4 linked regions of the Mus musculus genome follow. The protein of the gene in region 1 purifies or fractionates together with the protein of each later gene. This does not show direct contact. Links are inferred from orthologs where the notes say so. Each region holds a gene or a part of one and is shown on either strand. Other genes may lie near its edges. The genes, in order: Epc2, Kat5, Ing3 and Mbtd1.

The links.
Region 2: the proteins of Epc2 (region 1) and Kat5 purify together in Homo sapiens (affinity purification with mass spectrometry; 3 studies listed by BioGRID and IntAct, counting the BioPlex papers as one, with this or other methods). This does not show direct contact. The link is inferred for Mus musculus from reciprocal best matches to the Homo sapiens genes EPC2 and KAT5.
Region 3: the proteins of Epc2 (region 1) and Ing3 purify together in Homo sapiens (affinity purification with mass spectrometry; 3 studies listed by BioGRID and IntAct, with this or other methods). This does not show direct contact. The link is inferred for Mus musculus from reciprocal best matches to the Homo sapiens genes EPC2 and ING3.
Region 4: the proteins of Epc2 (region 1) and Mbtd1 purify together in Homo sapiens (affinity purification with mass spectrometry; 3 studies listed by BioGRID and IntAct, with this or other methods). This does not show direct contact. The link is inferred for Mus musculus from reciprocal best matches to the Homo sapiens genes EPC2 and MBTD1.

The regions. Positions count from the first base shown.
Region 1 is NC_000068.7:49,544,697-49,549,230, forward strand, and holds part of Epc2 (enhancer of polycomb homolog 2), read left to right. Parts: intron 1-1,012; coding exon 1,013-1,149; intron 1,150-2,749; coding exon 2,750-2,909; intron 2,910-3,734; coding exon 3,735-4,068; intron 4,069-4,534. UniProt on the Homo sapiens protein: May play a role in transcription or DNA repair.
Region 2 is NC_000085.6:5,606,854-5,612,366, reverse strand, and holds the start of Kat5 (histone acetyltransferase KAT5), read left to right. Parts: upstream 1-2,272; 5' UTR 2,273-2,337; coding exon 2,338-2,349; coding exon of another isoform or gene 2,350-2,448; coding exon 2,449-2,515; intron 2,516-2,622; exon of another isoform or gene 2,623-2,835; coding exon 2,836-2,904; intron 2,905-2,994; coding exon 2,995-3,131; intron 3,132-3,382; coding exon of another isoform or gene 3,383-3,409; coding exon 3,410-3,565; intron 3,566-3,654; coding exon 3,655-3,729; intron 3,730-4,037; coding exon 4,038-4,112; intron 4,113-4,402; coding exon 4,403-4,651; intron 4,652-4,726; coding exon 4,727-4,816; intron 4,817-5,513. UniProt on the Homo sapiens protein: Catalytic subunit of the NuA4 histone acetyltransferase complex, a multiprotein complex involved in transcriptional activation of select genes principally by acetylation of nucleosomal histones H2A and H4.
Region 3 is NC_000072.6:21,947,792-21,953,135, forward strand, and holds the start of Ing3 (inhibitor of growth protein 3), read left to right. Parts: upstream 1-1,823; 5' UTR 1,824-1,974; coding exon 1,975-2,002; intron 2,003-2,246; coding exon 2,247-2,318; exon of another isoform or gene 2,319-2,529; intron 2,530-4,337; coding exon 4,338-4,438; intron 4,439-5,344. UniProt on the Homo sapiens protein: Component of the NuA4 histone acetyltransferase (HAT) complex which is involved in transcriptional activation of select genes principally by acetylation of nucleosomal histones H4 and H2A.
Region 4 is NC_000077.6:93,930,817-93,935,538, reverse strand, and holds part of Mbtd1 (MBT domain-containing protein 1), read right to left. Parts: intron 3,727-4,722; coding exon 3,644-3,726; intron 3,320-3,643; coding exon 3,085-3,319; intron 1,659-3,084; coding exon 1,581-1,658; intron 1-1,580. UniProt on the Homo sapiens protein: Chromatin reader component of the NuA4 histone acetyltransferase complex, a multiprotein complex involved in transcriptional activation of select genes principally by acetylation of nucleosomal histones H4 and H2A.

The sequences.
Region 1 (4,534 bases):
GGTGGGATTAGTTTAGCCGAAGATGTGGACCCCATAGCACTGCAAGGAGAAAAGAAAGGATTTAAGAGTATGTGTATTCTGGTGTCTCTGGAGACTTATATTCAAAATGAGTGCTAATTTCTATGAAAATACCTTGTGTTCGCTATATTGGCTCATCACTTAAATATGAGTTCATGAAATTTCATTTACATTTCTTTGAGAAAAAAAAAAAGTACCTATTGTAACTCTTTGAACTGATCCTTCTGTCAGCTTAAGAAAACAGGGATATTGCTTTTACTTAAAACCCATAGCTTCGTACACTCTTCAGAGCATTGTTGGTTGCACCTGAAGGGTCCACTATAACTCTAGTTTTCTTAAAATATCTCCTTCCCAGCCCTTACTTTATAGAATTTATTTAGACATTGACTACACTGGCTCACACTGGGGCTTATGGCTGTTGAATGTGATTGTTTTCTACTCCAATTTAGAATCAGAACAGAAAATATTTTCACTTAAGTGTCATAAAAACCAGCAGAAGTCACTTGTCTCTTATTAAGGCTGTAACTTGATTATTATTTATATCTACAGTAGTAAATGCATATATTTATCATTATTATTACTACTGTTATTCCATGGGCATCCTAAAGAAAGACTGCAAAGCTGAGGCCAGCATGATGGCTCAGTGAGTAAAGAAAGACACTTGCCACCAAGCCTGATGACTGACTTCTATCCTCTGACTTCTGTACATACATTGTGATACGCATACACATGCTAAACACACAAATAAACATTTTAAAAGAACACACAAAAATTCAAAAACAGATTTCAATTCCATCGTGTTATACAGTTAAAAACTGCATAGGAACAAAGGAGACTGTGGACATGAACATAGAGCACTCAGAAAGATTCGCCATTGGGATTCTACTTTGCAGATGTCTGTTGTGGCTTGTATTTGCATTCCATCTTTACAGGCTTATGTTGTATTCTGCTTATGTCACTACAAGTACTCTAATACTCTTTTATCCTTTATCAGTAACAGGGGGCATCACAGAAGAGCAGTTTCAGACACATCAACAGCAGCTAGTTCAAATGCAAAGGCAGCAACTTGCGCAGCTTCATCAGAAACAACAATCCCAGCATTCCTCACAGCAGACACATCCAAAAGCACAGGTGACCTTTCACTGTCCTCTTTCTCACGTTCCTACAGGTGACTCTGCTCCTCTGTCCCCGAGTTTGAGAATTAACCCAGATTTTCTTTTATTAAGTTATCTATTTCTGAATAGCTAGTTTCTAGACTAGTCTGGTTATTTGAGAGCTAAATGTGGTAGTTTTTGTTTAGGAAGAATTACTAGTTTTTAGAAGGATTGTTGAGAGTTTATAAAATAATTAGCTATTTTTTAAACCCCCCTCATTTTTTTTCAAGAATATGGCTTTTCTAACCTCTTCATGTTTATACTTAAGTCCTATGTCAGTACAGCTTAGAAGGAGAAGGAATTCAGTTAAATTATGTGGTAAATCTAAGCTTCACAGGCCCCCTTGCCTGTGTGAATCACATTTCCCTGAAGGGAAAAAGAAATGCCACGTGCCACCAGAAGTTCCTAGACATCCATAAATACAGACACAAGTGATAAAAGTGAAAATGCTGTAAAAGACTGCAGGAACCAACCCAGCAAAAGCAAACCTTGAGATGAGCCTTGGGAGACTCCTTGTGGGCCGTGGCTGCTAGAACTGTACAAGAACACGGTACTGTTGCTTTAGGCCATTGAAAGCAAAACAAAAATAAAAGGACTTAGTCTCAAAGTTGAATTGGCAAAATAAACTTCACATTTAAGGTCTGAAATTTTGTTGTCCATAATTTTAAAGAGCAAGAATCTCTGTAATAACTAAGACTAACACCATTCAGTCACACACTTTGAGTTCTCAGACCAAGGTCTACCAACAATGCTTTAGTTCATCCTCAAGAGTCTGTCCTTTTACATTAAAGTCTTGAGTTGACACCATGGAAATCTTGATGAGCCACACCCCTGTGACAGTACTGGTAGATCTGGACTTGGCTTATAGCCTGCAGCTATCTATGTTAGTACCAGCCAGTTCTACACAGAAGCGTGGAAGAGTGGCCATTGTACTTCGTTTGGCTTGGTGTTTTTGAATCTCTTCAGGTAACTACCCTGAAGTGTTTGCAGACTGTTTCAAAGCTGAGTCCGTCTAGGTATTTACATTGTGATAGACTGGTTATGAGTCATGGCTGGGATTTCATGTCATCCAGTGTCTACTCATCAAGCAGTTTCTAAAGTATTTATTATTATGTAAGAAGATTAATAGAGCATGGGTTTTTCAGTTTGATAGTTCTTTTTCAGAAATAATTATTTTCTAGTTTCTAGTTATTTTCATGCTTCATATACCAAAAAATTCTGAAGTCTTAAATCTCTCATCTAAAAACGTATTATGACTATGTCTGATTAGAATGGCAATATCCTTTTGAGTGCCACACATTTCTTAATATCATTAATCACATCTAACAAAACAGAGTATAGGGTGCTGGCAGGGTGGCCTAGCAGGTAAAGGCACTTGCTGCTAAGTCTAACTACCTGAGTTGGATCCCTGGAATTGTCATTGTGAAAGAACAGAACCAACTCCTGACAGTTGTCCTCTGACCTCCACACACACACATGCTGTTATTCCCCCACCCCAACACATGCAGAAAAATGGAGAGTGATTAGATAGATAAATAGATGTGGAAAACTGAACTGTGCTGCTATCCGTTTTTTAGGGCTCAAGCACCTCTGACTGTATGTCTAAAACACTTGACTCAGCCAGCGCCCACTTTGCTGCATCTGCAGTGGTCAGTGCTCCTGTTCCAAGTCGCAGTGAGGGATCCAAGGAACAGAACACTGGCCACAACAATATGAATGGTGTTGTCCAGCCTTCAGGTACAACTCGGGTTTCTGTAATACTTATTAACTTAAAATTGCTACTCATCAAGTTGGGTTTGATTTTTTTCATATACACAGGGGAAATGTATACAGTGCTGTTCAGAATGCCTTGGACTGATACAAATGAATAGCTGAGTGTTTCCCAGAATTCTCACTGTACCTTCTATCTACCTATCCATCCATTCTGATTCCATTCATGACTCTCAGTTGCCTCACATGTTAGGAAAGCCATTGAGTTCATTGTTAACCACCCCTATTGGATCATCTATAAATTGTTTATAAAGTGAAATAAAAACAGCACAGTCTGTTAAAAAGTCTGAAGTCGGGTTTGCAATCCCACGTGCACATGCAGAAAGACACTTCCCCCCACTCCTCCTCTGATACGTTGCAGCTGTGAAAGCCACTTGCTGCTTACTGCCCGACCCCAAAGACGTGCTGCTTGGTCCTCTCACAGCTCCCAAGCTCAGACTTCTCTGGGTTTGTTTATATGTACTCAGGATCACTTTGTTTTTTACCCCTTTCTGTAGTCTGCCCTTGCTGATCCTGTGTGCCTATAAATCCTTAGGAAAACACAGCTATCATTTTCATCTGTCCTGTTGTATTTATCTCCAGAGTTGCCACATACAGAGGGAGCAAATGCCACATACAGAGGGAGCAAAATGCTTTGGAAATCTCCTTATATGACTGTGATATAGAAAGTTAGCTTCATATTTATTTAATTAGAATATGAGTACATTTATTTTATTACTGAGTTCCTGATTTTTTTAAACTTTTTTTTATTGTCTCATCACACTAATTGAGTGATTGTTCCCTCTTCTGCAGGACCCTCTAAAACATTATATTCCACCAATATGGCTTTATCATCCAGCCCAGGGATTTCAGCTGTACAGCTTGTAAGGACAGTTGGCCACACTACTACAAACCACTTGATCCCAGCGTTGTGCACAAGCAGTCCTCAGACACTTCCCATGAACAATTCCTGCCTGACCAATGCAGTGCACCTCAATAACGTCAGTGTTGTTTCTCCTGTCAATGTGCATATCAATACACGGACTTCAGCACCATCGCCAACAGCCTTAAAACTTGCCACAGTTGCTGCCAGCATGGACAGAGTGCCAAAGGTTACTCCCAGCAGTGCCATCAGCAGCATAGCCAGGTGTGTGCACGAGTGGGTACTGTTCCTGAGCTGTGCTCTAGCTGTCCTGAATCAAGAGAAGCCCTTTTGACTTTGTGCTGCTCAACTATATCTTTTGACAGACTTGATTTTTCAAAAGCTTGAGGATTTGCTTGCTACAAAAAAGCTCTTTGCCTAGTAGCATCCTTAAATGCCAACCAGAGTTGTAAAAAAAGAAAGCATAAAAAAGTCAAATTGACTGATTTTAAACACTTCAGTCAGTCTCATCATGTTTTAAATTTTTTTTATTTAAATAAGCTAGGTGGTAGTGGTACATGCCTTTAATCCCAGCACTAGGGAAGCAGAAGATCTCAGAGTTCAAGGCCAGCCTGATCTACAGAGCAATTTCCAGGACAGCCAGAGATACACAGAGGAAATTTTATTAAAATTATTAAACTTACTAAAAATGTTTTATATTTATTATTTTATGTGTCCGAGTGTTTAGCAT
Region 2 (5,513 bases), on another chromosome or scaffold:
TTACAACCAGCTCCAGCTCCAGGTGCTCCAACCCCCTTTTCTAGACTCCAGGGGCACTTGCACTCAGAAGAACAAAACCACACTTGGATACATATATGTACATAATTACAAAGGCTGGAGAGAAGGCTCAATGGTTAAGAGCACTTGCTACTCTTGCATAAGACAGGGGTTCAGGGCTGGAGAGATGGCTCAGTGGTTAAGAGCACTGACTGGTCCTGAGTTTGATTCCCAGCAACCACATGGTGGCTCATAACCATACATTTGTAATGAGATCTGGCGCCTTCTTCTGGAGTGTCTGAAGACAGCTACAGTGTACTTACATATAATAAATAAATAAACCTTTTAAAAAAAGGTGTTGGGGGGGTGGGGGGGTAGGGGGGTGGGGGTGAGATAGCTCAGTGGGTAAGAGCACCCGACTGCTCTTCTGAAGGTCAGGAGTTCAAATCCCAGCAACTACATGGTGGCTCACAACCATCCGAAACAAGATCTGACTCCCTCCTCTAGAGTGTCTGAGGACAGCTACAGTGTACTTACATATAATAAATAAATAAATAAATAAATAAATAAATAAATCTTTTTTTAAAAAAGTGTTCAGTTCCCAGCACCCACAATGCCTCCTTCTGGCCTTCACAGGCACTGTGTGTAATGGGTGCATGACATACTCAGGTGAACAGACATAAATAAATAAAATAAAATACATAAATTAAAAAAAAAAAAGCCTCACGGAGCCAAAGCAAGGAAGCAGCAATGGCTCCACCCCTGTGAGGCTGTTGTGAGTAACAGTGGTGATGCTTCAGTTCCTCAGGGGAAGACTGGATGTTCTGAAAGATGGCACAACTCAGAACTCACAAGAGAGAAAAATGCCGTGTGCTGTCATATGCCTGTTGTCATCCTTGTGACAAGTCCCAGGCCAAGCAGGGCTACACAGTGAGACTTCACCTCAGAACAAACAATAACAAAAGGCCTATTGGCTTTTCAGTACTTCTTATGCTGAACATATTTTGCACACAGATCAAATCCAAGTGTTATTATTAATGCTCCTGTGATGAAACCAATCCTTTACTTCTGCACATAAACTCTTCTCAAAGTGGCCAAATGGACCCGAAACCATTTAAACTGGGAACACTTAGAAGTAAGGCTAAAGGGCCCCACTACACCCTTTAGGCATGTTATCAATATCTGTGATAGTTATTTTTGGTTGTCCATTTGACTACATCTGGATTTCACTAAAACCCAAAAATGGAAGAACACATACGTGAACAATTTTGCCTACTCTGAAGTGGGAAAACCCACTGCTTTGTGTTTTTAAGAGGATTTCTCAGTGTAGCCCTGGGTGTCTTGGAACTTGCTCTGTAGACCAGGCCTGCCTCTGCCTCCCCAGTGCTGGCAAGCTGGCTTGGTGGAAGATCCACTTTGAATTCACATCTTTGAGGAGGGAGAACACACCTTTGTTATTCAAACCTATTCTTGTTATTCAAAGTCAGAAGATGCACCTTCTGCTGGAAACTAAAAGAAAGACATGAAACAAGATTTTCCTCCCTGCCACCCCCAGGACAGGGCTTATCTGTGTAACCCCGCTTGTCCTGGAACTGACTCTGTAGACAACGCTGGCCTCAACTCATAGAGCTTCGCCTGCTTCTGCCTCCACTGCCAGCCTGCTTTTACTCTGCCTACTTGCTCTCACTCTCGTTGACAAGTCCGCTCCTTCACTGTCATTAGCGCCTACTTCTTTGGGATTCTGATGTATAATGAAGACCAACTGAGACATCCATTCTTGTTGACTGAATGCCTACTGGAATTTTGAACCTTCCATGTATACAGCCACATATATACTATTTTAAAAATAGAAATCCAGTATTAACGGAAAAATCTTGCTAAGCCCCCAGGCCTGTGCAATCTTATGCAGACACCTGGGTGGATCTCTAAATCCCTTCAGGTCTACTGACTCCCCAGGGTTCAAAACCCCACTCCTTAGCTTCTTACTCAGGGTGACACCTCACACTGCCACTAAGAGGCTCGCCAGAACACTGCCTCTAGACAAAGCCTAAACATGATCTGAGTGACCGGCGTCGCACCCGGTGGGCGTCACGTGACAGACTCGGCGTTCCTCCAATCGCTGTGCGAGGAGCGGGGATTCCATCTAGTACTTGGCCTCAGGTTTACAACGTCCTGCTCTTCCATTCCCCAAACGGGCCGGCTTTTTGCTACCAACCAGCTAGCAGTGATTCTCAAGTGTTTCCCTTTCAAACAGCTTCAAGGGGCTCGGGCCTATAGCGCACTCAGCTCCGGAAGTGACGTCTCCCAGAGGGGCCGGAAGTGGCAGTGGAGGGAGGGAAGATGGCGGAGGTGGTGAGTCCGGTGCCCGGGGCGGGGCGGAGGGAGCCAGGGGAGGTGGGTAGAGCCCGAGGCCCCCCAGTAGCCGACCCTGGCGCCGCGCTGTCTCCCCAGGGGGAGATAATCGAGGGCTGCCGCCTGCCCGTGCTGCGGCGCAACCAGGACAACGAAGATGAGTGGCGTGAGTGACGTCGGGGGGCGGGTCCAAGGAACCTGAGGGCGAGGGGCGGGAGGGAGTCAACGATCGCACGGGAGGGGGAGGGGCTTCTGCAATCCCGGGGCGGTCGCAGATACTCGGGAGGAGGGGCGTGGCTTTTGGACGTACGGAGATGATCCGGGCGGGGCTTGGAGAGAGGTGTCACTTGGTGACTAAAGGGGTCTTGAACCAGCCCCTCTGAGTGCTGGGACACAGGCCTCCAGCCTGGAGGTGGGATTCAGGTCGAAGGGTGGAGTCTCCTGACCTGCCCTGGCTAAGACTCCCTGTCTGTGTGGTTCTCATAGCCCTGGCTGAGATCCTGAGCGTGAAGGACATCAGTGGCCGAAAGCTTTTCTATGTCCATTACATTGACTGTGAGTCCTGGGCCTGGATGGAGTGGGGTTGCTGGAGAGGGTTGAGGGCAGCCTCTGGCATTCCCTCCTGAGCCGTTTTCACTGCTGCAGTCAACAAACGTCTGGATGAATGGGTGACTCACGAGCGGCTGGACTTAAAGAAGATCCAATTTCCCAAGAAAGAGGCCAAGACACCTACCAAGAACGGACTTCCTGGGTCCCGCCCCGGCTCTCCCGAAAGAGAGGTGGTGAGTAGGTCCCCCATTTCATCTTTTCTCTCCTGCCTCTTCCTTCTTGCATCTCTTGGCCTCAGGGGTTCCTGAATGGGCAGGAGGCAGCATTCTTCTGCCATGGCTTCAGCTTGCAAAGGATGGGGACCAAGTTGCAGGCGTAGCTTCCAGAGTCCAGCACTGCCTTGCTTTAGAGAAGGCAGAGGGTGGGATTCCATGCTGAGGGGCCCATCCCCCCCTTCGCCATCCCACCACCATCCCCACCCCAGAGGAAGACCCTGGACCTATCTCTGCAGCCGGCCTCCGCCCAGGCCAGCGGGAAGACCTTGCCAATCCCGGTCCAGATCACACTCCGCTTCAACCTGCCCAAGGAGCGGGAGGCCATCCCAGGTGGCGAGCCTGACCAGCCGCTCTCCTCCAGCTCCTGCCTGCAACCCAACCACCGCTCAACGGTACCCTCAGCAATTCCAGGGACCTTGCTTTCTTCTCAGGTCCCACCTTCTCTACCTTCTGACCCACCTTTCCTGGTTTCTCTCTGCAGAAACGGAAGGTGGAGGTGGTTTCACCAGCAACCCCAGTGCCCAGCGAGACAGCCCCAGCCTCGGTTTTCCCTCAGGTGAGTCTTCCAGTCTTTTTTCATGTGTCTGAATGTTTTGTCTGTGTTTTGCATGTGTTCTACTTGCATGCCTGGTGCAGGTGGGCAGAAGAGGGCATTGGAGCCACTGAAACTGGAGTTAGAGATGGTTGTGAGCCACTCTGTGGGTCCTGGGAAAAGAACCCAGGAAGTCCTCTGGAAGATCAGGGCTCTTAACCACTGAGCCATCCCAACAGCCTGCCTGGTCTTTCCCCTCTTATTCCTTGCTGTCTAGCATCCTCCTCCAGGATCATCTCACGGTCGCTCTTTCTCTTGTGTCTTGTCCACAGAATGGGTCAGCCCGTAGGGCAGTGGCAGCCCAGCCTGGACGGAAGCGGAAATCTAATTGCTTGGGCACTGATGAGGTGGGTCTTGAGGAGCAGAGGGAGAGGGAAGCCGGGAAAGGGGGAGTGGGCTTGGGCATGGTGTTCACTCGGTGAGGCCTTAGGCAGGGAGGGTGGTGGCTGGGAGCCAAGCAGATGAACCCCTGGGCCTCTTCTACTCTCAGTTTCTCAGCCTCGCTTTATTTTGGAAGTGGAGGTTGGTGCTTTGCCCTTAGCTGATGTTAGACTTGCAGGAAGAAGCCAATGGCAGTGTCGTGCGCCACGCTCTGCTTAACTGCTACCATCTAGTATTTGCCATCTGCCTTGGGCAGGATTCTCAGGACAGCTCAGATGGAATACCGTCAGCACCACGAATGACTGGCAGTCTGGTGTCTGACCGGAGCCACGACGACATTGTCACCCGGATGAAGAACATTGAGTGTATTGAGCTTGGCCGGCACCGCCTCAAGCCGTGGTACTTCTCCCCGTACCCACAAGAGCTTACCACGCTACCCGTCCTCTACCTGTGCGAATTTTGCCTCAAATATGGCCGTAGCCTCAAGTGTCTGCAACGCCACTTGGTATGAGGGGTCTTGGGAGGCTGCCTATCCAGAGTACCCTCACCAGTCCCCACCTGATCCTCCTTTTGTCCTTAGACCAAATGTGATCTTCGGCACCCTCCAGGCAATGAAATTTACCGCAAGGGCACCATCTCCTTTTTTGAGATTGATGGACGGAAAAACAAGGTTAGTGGCTTGGGCACGGCTGGGCTGGAGTGAGTCACATGAACAACCTTTTCCTGCTCAGAACAGTTGACCATTCTGCCTATGAGCAGGTCACTGTTTTTATTGAATTCTTGACACGGAGCAGGGAATGTACAGAAAACTGGGATTTAGAGAAATTTTCTTTCCTGAGAGGTCACTGTCACGGCAGAGCAGACATGACAGCTACTCAGGTTCCAGTAACAGAGGGGGTTCAGCACAGTTCACAGGAAGCTGTCATCAGAGCTTGGAGGTGTGTGTGCCTATAATCCCAGCACTCAGAAAACTCCCGAGTTCAAGAGTAGTCAGGGGACTAATGAGTTGCAAGCCAACCTGAGCTATAAAGTAAGAAAGACCTATCCGGAACCAAAACAAAAAACAAAAAGAAGTGAGGCAGCAAAGGTTAAATATAAAACTAGAGGCATTTAAAGAACAGTTTGGCCCAGCATGGTGGTACATTTATAATCACAGCATCCAGGAAGCTGATGCTAGAGGAGTTGACATTCAAGGATAGTCTGAACAGCATAGTAAGGTCTTTTCTCAGAACCAAATAAAAAAAGGATCTTTGGTTGTGTGTGCTGGTACATCCTTTATTCCCAGCATTCAGGAAGCGGAAGCAGGTGGGTCTCTGCTGGTTTATAGGGAGTTCCAGGCCAGCCAGGGCTAATACAGTCAGATCTGC
Region 3 (5,344 bases), on another chromosome or scaffold:
TGGGAACGAAGTCAGCTTTAGTTCAGAGACTATCAATCAAATCTTGGCCATGTAGAATTCCTGCTTGAACAGCTATGCATCCAGCCACTGTAAGAAGACAACGTCAAAAATCAGTTCTCAAGGAGGAGTCTAATAGAAGACAGGATCCCAAGAGGAATAGTCCCTATGTAAGAGTAGGTGAGCAATAAACTCTTTTCATATAAGAGGCCACTAAGAAAACATGCTTGTCTTGGACTTAAGAGGCCAATAAGGAAGAAAAAGTCTCCCTTGAGAGTATATAATGAAGTATTTTCATTACAGGTTCCAATTCAATCTATCGGTGCAATAGAATAAACCTCAACTACATAACTTAATTTGACCCTAAGTTTGATGGTGTCTTGCAGCAAAGTTGCAGAGTCAAATGCTAATATTCTCTAGCAAAACTCGATTTTAACTCCAGCAGTGAAATTTCTCTATATTTATAACCCTGGAAAAGTGAATTCAGAGTTAAAAACCCCAACACAGATGAAATTAGGCACTGTAAACAAACGTGGCTGCTTTTGAACAAAGAGCACAAACAGATAAATAGTTTTAGTACAAAATTTAAATTAAACAGGTGTAGACTAAATATATTTAACATTCAAGTAATAAGAAAATGGCTTTAAAAGAAGACAAAAGAGAATACAAGTATGTCATTGTAAATAAAATTGTAACATAAAAATATTGAGTAGTGAATAAAATGTGTCATACTGATTTATTTTCTTTTGTATGAGAAAGGGTCTTCCATAATCTGGGTTGGCTTCTAATTGCCTATGTTGCCAAAGCTCACACTCCTAATCCTCCTGTCTCAATTCTCCCACTTAGGGGATTACAGGTGTGTGGTGTTATAATCCACCAGATAGTCTAAGAAGGGATCATTTTCCCCAAAACACAGAAGCATTTAGTGTACGAATTTTTATGAAAGGCATTTTTAAGATAGAAACGGGGCGGTGATACACTTGTTATACCACCAGTGAACATTTGCTAGGGTTATTAAAAAAGCCTGCCCAGAACTATAAACATTAACCCAGCTACTTACCCAACATAAATTTAAATCATTGTTAGTATATGCCAGCAATGCATTAAATCACTATAATTTATGGTTGGTTGTTATTTATTCATCTATTTATTTACTTTATTGCGGATGCATTTGAACAGTTGTTTTACAATGAACACAAGATACACCGCAAAACATAACTGGCTACTGAATACTATTTTGGGTGTCTTTTAATTTGGGAAATGCACATTCGCTCCAGTCTCACTATAAATTATCTTAACGTTGCAGGGACACCAATCACTTGTCCCATTTATTTATCAGGAGTGAATAATGAAGATAAATTCCAGCAGCGAGTTCTGTTCTAAACAACCTGAATTTTCCGAACTTAGCCGATTATTCTAGCGTTTGGAATCTTTGCTATTTGCCTAGCACAGCCAGAAATCCATGACTCACAAACGGCGGGCTTAGAATCACCGCCCAGAACAGGTGAAAAGTTGTTCCTAGTTGTGTCAGGCAGGCGCATACAACTCCCGTCATCCCCCATGTAAGAAATCAACAAATAAACAGAGGCACCGCATTTCGGATTCTGGCGTGCCCGTTTCGCGCAGGCGTGTGGTTTCTGTAGTTGCCACTCCAAGAGACACCCTCACTAATGGCCACGCTCGGGGAAAAAGAAGACTACATTTCCCAGAATACCGCGGAGATCCGCACCGGCCGGTTGACGTCATCGCTGCAGACAGCCAATAGCAACGGCGGGCGGCAGTGAGGCAAGCGCCGTCAGGCGCCAAAGTGGAGCCTTTTTTTTTTTCCTTTGCTTTTTTTTTTTTTTTTTTCCTTTGCCGGAGTCGAGCGGGTGCTGCTAGCGGAGGCGCCATATTGGAAGGGACAAAACTCCGGCGACAGCGAGTGACACAAATAAACCCCTGGACCCGTTCGTCCCCGCAACAGTCAGGGCCGCGATGTTGTACCTAGAGGACTATTTGGAAAGTGAGTGCGCGGCGCCGGCGACGCGGCGGGCGGGATCGGCGGCGGGCGGGAGCGCGAGTGGCCGGGCGGGCGGGATGGCGGGAGGGAGGGGGAGCGGGGGATGTTTCTTTCTCACGGTAACTGGCAGCCTCGTTGTGAGCCGCCCCCCCTCCCGTACGCACGCACGCACGCACGCACACACGCGTGACGCCAGCGCGTCCCTTCGCCGTTGGCCCCGCCCTCTGACGGACTGTGCCTTTGACAGTGATTGAGCAGCTTCCGATGGACCTACGGGACCGCTTCACGGAGATGCGCGAGATGGATCTGCAGGTGCAGAGTAAGTGGCGCGTCTCCACGGCCCCGCGCAGCCCCGGCCTCCCTCGGGCATCGCCTGGCGGGTCCTCCGCGCTACTTTTTTCAGGCTGTGACAAGGAGGCGGCGGGCACACCGTACCGTTAACACGCGGGGCACAGCAAACACAGTTGTTTGTGTACTGCATGGAGATGACGACACTGCACCGCAGTGGAAACTCGCGTGATTTTCAGAAGGTTTGCACCCGAGCCTGGATGTGGAAACTTGGAGTTCTGCATTCAGACTTAAAAGTTCATTACATTCCGAATTTCTCCAGAGCAAAGACATAGAAGGGCAGGCTAGGGACCCTAGTGAACTCGGAAGGCCGAACTTTGACAAGTTGCATATTAATGGAAGACACTTAGAGCTGTGAACAGCGTGGACACTTTCTCAGCCAGAAATGAGTGAGAGAGATCAGATTTTAAGGAAATCACCCGCTTGCTCTTTAGAAAACTGTAGACGTTTGATAGGCTTCCCTACTGGTTTCTTGTTTTGTAAACACAACCACGTCATTCAGGCTGGTCTCACACTCAATATGTATAATAATCCTAGGCTTGCTCTAATCTCCTCATCTTCCTGCTTCTGTCTGCCTAGTGCTTGGCTTTTCAGGCATTGCTAGCATTGATTTTTTTTTCTGTCAGTGCTTGGCAGCTTTATATGTGACTTATTTCCAAAATGAACCTTGTTCTTTTGAAAAAGCCAGACTGGAAGAGGCTCAAAGGTAACTTGAGTTTGCTAAGGGCTTGTTCTCTTCATTCATGAGCCTCTGCCGCCCCTGCCCCTCATTTCTGTACCTTTTGTCCCTGACTGTACTTTTCTCATCTCAGTCTCTGGGTCATCTCTTGGGGTGCATTGCCCAATAGCCTCTCATAAATCTGTGACTGGAATAGGTGTGCTTTTTCTCTTTGACTTTAAGGTAGTTGCAGTAGTAAACACCTGCCGAAGCACATTCCAGAGGGATTGAGTAGAGTTTGGTGGCAGACAGATTTGGGTTCACTCTTGGACAGGACGACTAGGACAACTCCAGCCTTGCTGCCTGGGGGGCTTGTTTGCTTTTTTTTTTTTTTTTTAAAAACTGACAGTCTTCTGAGGATTTAAACTAATACAGATAATTAGGATGTATAATGCCCATTACAAATAGGTTTAGAATAAAGGATAATTTAAAACATTGTCAATCATTCAATTTTTTTAAAATTCTGGGATAGTTTGGATTTAATCTATTCATATGACAGTGCTTTCAAGTTTACTTACTTTGTAATCCTGGAGTTTTCGGAAACAAAGTGAGTAGGCATTAAAAGTATCAGCATGTCTAAGGTCAGCAAGTAGCTGAAAGTAAATTGTGTTTTAAAAATGAAGATTAACTAGAGCATCTCAGCATCTTTTGTAAAAAGCCATCCTGCTCTGAAGTTGCTTAAATGATAAATATAGTGGGCAATTTTTTCTCCATTTCCATCACAACAAAACCCCTTTTATTTATTTTTTTAGCAGCCATCCACTGAGGTCATTATTTTTGACCTGGGCTTTGGCGAAGCCTTACATAGAGTAAATAGCATGTGTGTTGAGTGAATAAATGGTGAGCAACGGTCACATATATTATCCCTTCCTGTGAGAGGACGTGATGAGGTGCTTGGTGCTATGGAGCAAGTGTTGACTCTGTCATCACTATTTTTATTAAAAGAAGTATGAGACCGTCCCAGGAGTACTGTTAGTAAGCAGCTCTGATTGCCGTAACCAGCTGACTTAATGCCATTAACTTTGATTTCAGTGCGGGTTGTGGCGTAGATCCTTGTCTGTACAATTCACTCTACCTTGATTACTGGAAAATGTTTTGAAATAGCAAAGTCAGTACAGAATATTTCAGCTTTTTAAAAACTAATGTAATGAAGGCACCACTGCTTATAGTACAAAATGTGTATAAGCTAAAACAGAGTTGTCAGATGTCTTTTTTTTTTCCTCAAATCAAAGCAGTTTGGTCGGCTAAGTATGAAATGTTTTATTGTGTCAGATGCAATGGATCAACTAGAACAAAGAGTCAGTGAGTTCTTTATGAATGCAAAGAAGAATAAACCCGAGTGGCGAGAAGAACAGATGGCATCCATCAAAAAAGTAAGTGTGATGCCTTGGATAATTGGCAGTCACATTGGGACCCTCTAGGAGAGATAGTAACATTACGTAGATACCTGGATATGGAGTGAGGGCACTTATGAGGGACTTGGGGGCACTTGGTATATTCTAGACCAGCAGTTCAACTCAAGGGGCAGATGACCTTTTCACAGGGTCACCAAAAGCCATCGGAAAACACATTACGATTCAGAAATAATCTCATGGCCGAGGCTCACCACAGCATGAGGACCTTTGTTAAAGGGTCACAATATTGGGAAGGTAGAGAAGCACTGGTTTAGAGCTTCCTGTAATTCTTGCTGAAGTTTATTTTAGCTAGTGCTGCGGGCCTTAAGGCTGTCCTGCAGATTAGATTACAGATTAGATAAGCTCACTAGTGCTGTGTGTGTGTGGGATCTGGTGTCTTTCTTTAGTGGTGTCTAGGAACACAACTTTCAAAGATTTGGCTTTGGTCCTCACTGCCATGTAGCTGTGTGACCTGGGTCAAGTCTTTTAACATGAGGAAGAATAAGTCCTTACGCCTAACCTTCATATAAAGTTTTCAGGGATATACAGAAACATTAATCTTGGAACTGAAAATTTCAATTGTGTTATTTATTCTTCCATCTGTAAGGAAGATTGTCTGTTAGGAGGGGGTAAACCAGCTTTCCTAAGAGAAGTGGTCCTGGCTTGTAAAAATGCCCAGGTATGAAGGAGGTTAGAGCTTGCGTATGTTAACCTAGAGTTCACTAGCCATCCTTTTCAACTAGAAGTTTTTCATGCAGCACAATTTGAACATACCCCCAAAAGTCTAGTTGTCTGTGGAAACACATAGGGTACTTTTTTCTTTTATGAAAAGAAAATTTTTGGTTTTTAAAAATAATATGGAGAAATATAAATTATAATTTGAGT
Region 4 (4,722 bases), on another chromosome or scaffold:
AGTAAGTTGAGTAGTCATACTGCCATAGTTAATTTAGAGACAGGAAATTCAAATGTGAACTCTTCCTAAGCATGTTTGAATCAGCACATCTTACTCTGATGGCGAATGGTCTAGCAGTGCTCTCTAAGCTCTTGTATGTGAACAACTGTGTTACCAAGCTCCTGATGGGCAAAGCAATCCTGATTCTATTAACCACTGAGCCACCTCTCCAGCAATAGATAGGGTTTTATGCTAGAAGAAAACTTGTTTTCAAAGCCCAGCACAGTAATTAGGTTCCTTACCTAAAAAATTATAAATAACTGAAATCAGGAAGAGAATACTCAGATCAGCCTTAGGTCCATTTCACTATAGAGAGTACCTTAAAACTTTTGTTGTTGTTTTTTTAAATCTTAAGAATAAAATACTCTGCAAGTTTCACGAATAGAGAAACCCATGGCTTATTACGGCAGTGAAAAGTACGATTATTATTGTGGCTAATAATGACAATCATAATTTACAGTTACACAAAGCATTAAAACATTGACTTTGTTAGACATCAACTCTGATCGTTTTCTCATTCTGTTGTGTGTCTGTGATACACCATGGATGTATGTAGGAATGTGTTCTTCATTTGGAGACACAGTATTCTTCACCTTACTGGGTTTGTTTTTGAGACAGGGCTTCTCTGTGTAGCTCTGGTTGTTCTGTAACTTGCTCCATAGACCCGACTCATCTCAAACTTAAGAGATGGACTGGTTCTGCATTCTCAGTGCTGGGACCAAAGCAGTGTGTCAGCACATTAAGCCTCCACTTTTTCATTTTACCCGGACTGTGTCCTCAGCCTTTTTTTTTTTTAATTTTTTGAGACAGGGTTTTTCTGTGTAGCCCTGGCTGTCCTGGAACTCACTCTGTAGACCAGGCTGGCCTCGAACTCAGAAATCCACCTGCCTCTGCCTCCCAAGTGCTGGGACTAAAGGCGTGCGCCACCACACCCGGCCCCAGCCCTTCTTAATAAGTGTGGATTTCTCAGGATTATCATTCCAGATAGAGAGTTAATGACAGCTACTGTAAGCATGAAGCACTGTTTTATTGCTTCATTAAAGTTTTAAAAAGGGATTAACTTTACGTAGGTCTATAATTATTTCAAGAATCATTATAAGGCTCTATTCTCTAGCTGTGTGCTTGAAAACACACAGATAACGAATACCTGTCTTTCTCTTTCTCCCCTCCCTTCCTTGCTTTCTCTCTTTCTCTTCCTTTTTTGTTTTTTTTTGAGACAGGGTTTCTCTGTGTAGCCCTGGCTGTCCTGGAACTCACTCTGTAGACTAGGCTGGCCTTGAACTCAGAAATCCCCCTGCCTCTGCCTCCCGAGTGCTAGGATTAAAGGCGTGTGTCACCATGCCCAGCTGATTATTTCTCCTGTCAATTAAAACTGTTTCTTAGTATCAAGAAGGTTTGCCTTTTATGTCATACTGCACCTTTAAGCATAATACATAGTGAACATACATCAGTTCTCACAGGGATGTAATTTTCTGTGCAAGAATACTGTGACCTTAATTGTTTAACAATTAGAAAATATATGCAAACACATGGTGACCCACTTTTCTTATGTCCTTTGTATTGCTGAGACTTAGCCTTTTTCTTCTGTTTTGAAGAAGCTGATTGGCTTTCTCTTGATGCTGAAAAATAAAAGGGAACATTGGTAACAGAACAATTATACAATCTTTTATGAAGATCATCATTCTTTAAGCAATACCACTCCTGGGCATATACCCAGAAGATGCTCCAACATGTAATAAGAACACACGCTCCACTATGTTCATAGCAGCCTTATTTATAATAGCCAGAAACTGGAAAGAACCCAGATGTCCCTCAACAGAGGAATGGATACAGAAAATGTGGTACATTCACACAATGGAGTACTACTCAGCAATGAGTTTATGAAATTCTTAGGCAAATGGATGGAACTGGAGGATATCATCCTGAGTGAGGGAACACAATCACAAAAGAACACATATGGTATGCACTCACTGATAAGTGGATATTAGCCCAGAAGCTCAGAATACCCAAGATACAATTCACAAACCACATGAAACCCAAGAAGGAGGAAGATCAAAGTGTGGGTGCTTTGTTCCTTCTTAGAAGGGGGAACATAATACCCATGGAAGGAGTTACAGAGACAAAGTGTGGAGCAGAGACTGAAGGAATGACCATCCAGAGACTGACCAACCTGGGGATCCATCCCATATACAGCCACCAAACCCAGACAGTATGGTGGATGCCAACAAGTGCTTGCTGACAGGAGCCTGATATAGCAGTCTCCTGAGAGGTTCTGCCAGTGCATGACAAATACAGAAGTGGATGCTCACAGCCATCCATTGGACTGAGCACAGGGTCCCCAATGGAGGAGCTAGAGAAAGGACTCAAGGAGCTGAAGGGGTTTGCAGCCCCATAGAAGGAACAATAATATGAACTAACTAGTACCTCAGAGCTCCCAGGGACTAAATCACCAACCAAAGAATGCACGTGGTGGGACTCATGGCTCCAGCTGCATATGTGGCAGAGGATGGCCTAGTTAGTCATCAATGGGAGGAGAGGCCCTTGGTCCTGTGAAGGCTCTATGCCCCAGTATAGAGGGATGCCAGGGCCAGGAATCAGGAATGGGTGGGTTGGTGAACAAGGAGTGAGGGGAGGGGATGGGGGTTTTCGGAGGGGAAACTAGGGAAGGGGATAACATTTGAAATAAAGAAAATATCTAACAAAAAACCCATGAGCCTTACTATTTACTCAACAGCATTTATGAACAATGCATTTTCAGCCTATAATATGCAGCTCAACAGTAGTGTAGTTTAATTTGGTAACTTCTGTTTTTTTCTATTTTACTTTTATGTCACCAATATGGAGTTCACATTGCCATGGCATACACAGTCTAATTCTGTGATATTGTTGGGTCTTGGGATTTTACCTGGCAACTCATCAGACATTGATATATTCTTGTCCTGTGAGCTTGCCCTCTGAGATATGAGATAGTTCTATGGAGAATTTGCAGGTTTTTTTTTTTTTTTTTGTAAAATAAAAGAACATGTTTTCTATATAGTAACTTACACTGTGATGCTGGAGGCTGTAGTTGATATCCAGTTAACTGACACCACCCTACAGGATAGAGGTCAGGGGACTCACAGTCTACCCACTGGTCATACTCTTCTTCCCAACCATCAAAATGTATCCTCAAGAGACGGTGAATAATTCGAGTAACTGTGGCTACACATATTAACCGTGGCTCCATGAGATCTACAGCTTCTAATTTCATTCCTACACGGAATCCGTGGTTTGGAACATCCTAATACAGAGAAATAAAGTATTAACACTGGTACTCAGAAGGACACAAATGAAACATTTGAAATCATTTCCCAAAACTCACAACAGTTCCTCAGTTATCCCACCACATGGCACACACATGCGTGCACACATCACTCACACTCACACACACACACACACACACACACACACACACACACACACACACACAAAGTATGTTTATAAACTTGCTTCTTTTCCTAAGAAAAATTTTGTTGATTTAAGAAATTCTAATACAAGCCAAAGAACATTAACTCAAGAAAAATTTCCACTCTTATGTCGTGATCATGCTACCATTCACATTTACCTTATTAAATAGTTTTACTGGTGCTGCAATGGAGCCGGTTTCCCTGAGGTAGTCAAACCATTTAAAAGGAAGTTTTGTGTAACCTAAAAAAATACAAATGGTTTAGGTAACAGTTAATTTAAAATTAACATAACCTTAAGATGTCAGTAACTTTAGTACATGAAACCTCAGATTTTAGGTGGTAAAGGTAATTTCTTTTCATTTGAGATCTTAAAAAGATATATTTTTATTTTTGAGATTGGGGTTCCAAATAGCTCAGGCTAGCCTTAAATATGCTATGTAGTAGAAGGTAAACACCTCCTCCTTAGTCCTTTTGTCTCCACTTCAAAGCATGGATTGAAGACGTGCTACTTTACTTGGTGATATGAAGAGCTTCTGGTACCACATTATGAAGATGCTCCCCTGCAGACACATGTGTATGCCTCCTTATTTTAATGCAAATGTGACTTTTTTTGTTTTCTACAAGGACAGACTTCTGCCGTGTGTGTGTGCGTGTGTGTGTGTGTGTGTGTGTGTGTGTGTGTGTGTGTGTGTGCGCGCGCGCGCACCACTGGGGATCTAATTGAGGGCCTTAACATGGTAGGCAAGTGCTCCTACCAATCAAGAGCTACAACTTGCAATACTAGGTTTTAGGACAGTCTAACACTTTTACTCTTTTTTTTTCAGGAAACTAAATTAGCTGAATTACACTTTCAAAAAAATCTTTTTTTGCTTGAATCCTATCTTAGAGAAAAACCCAAGGTAAAGGTATTAAAGGTCAGTGGTTAAATCATGGGAGTTGCTAAAAACATAACTTTCTTTTTTAAAAAATAACTTTCTTTTAAAAGATGGATAGCTGGGTGTAGTTGTGCACACCTTTAATCCCAGCACTCTGGAGGCAGAGGCAGGAAAATATGTATGATCTATATAATAAGTTTCAGATTATCAAGAATACGGAAATCATATCTTAACAAAACAAACAAGCTGGGTGGTGGTGGCGCACGCCTTTAATCCCAGCACTTGGGAGGCAGAGGCAGGCAGATTTCTGAATTCAAGTCCAGCCTGGTCTACAGAGTGAGTTCCAGGACAACAAGGGCTGT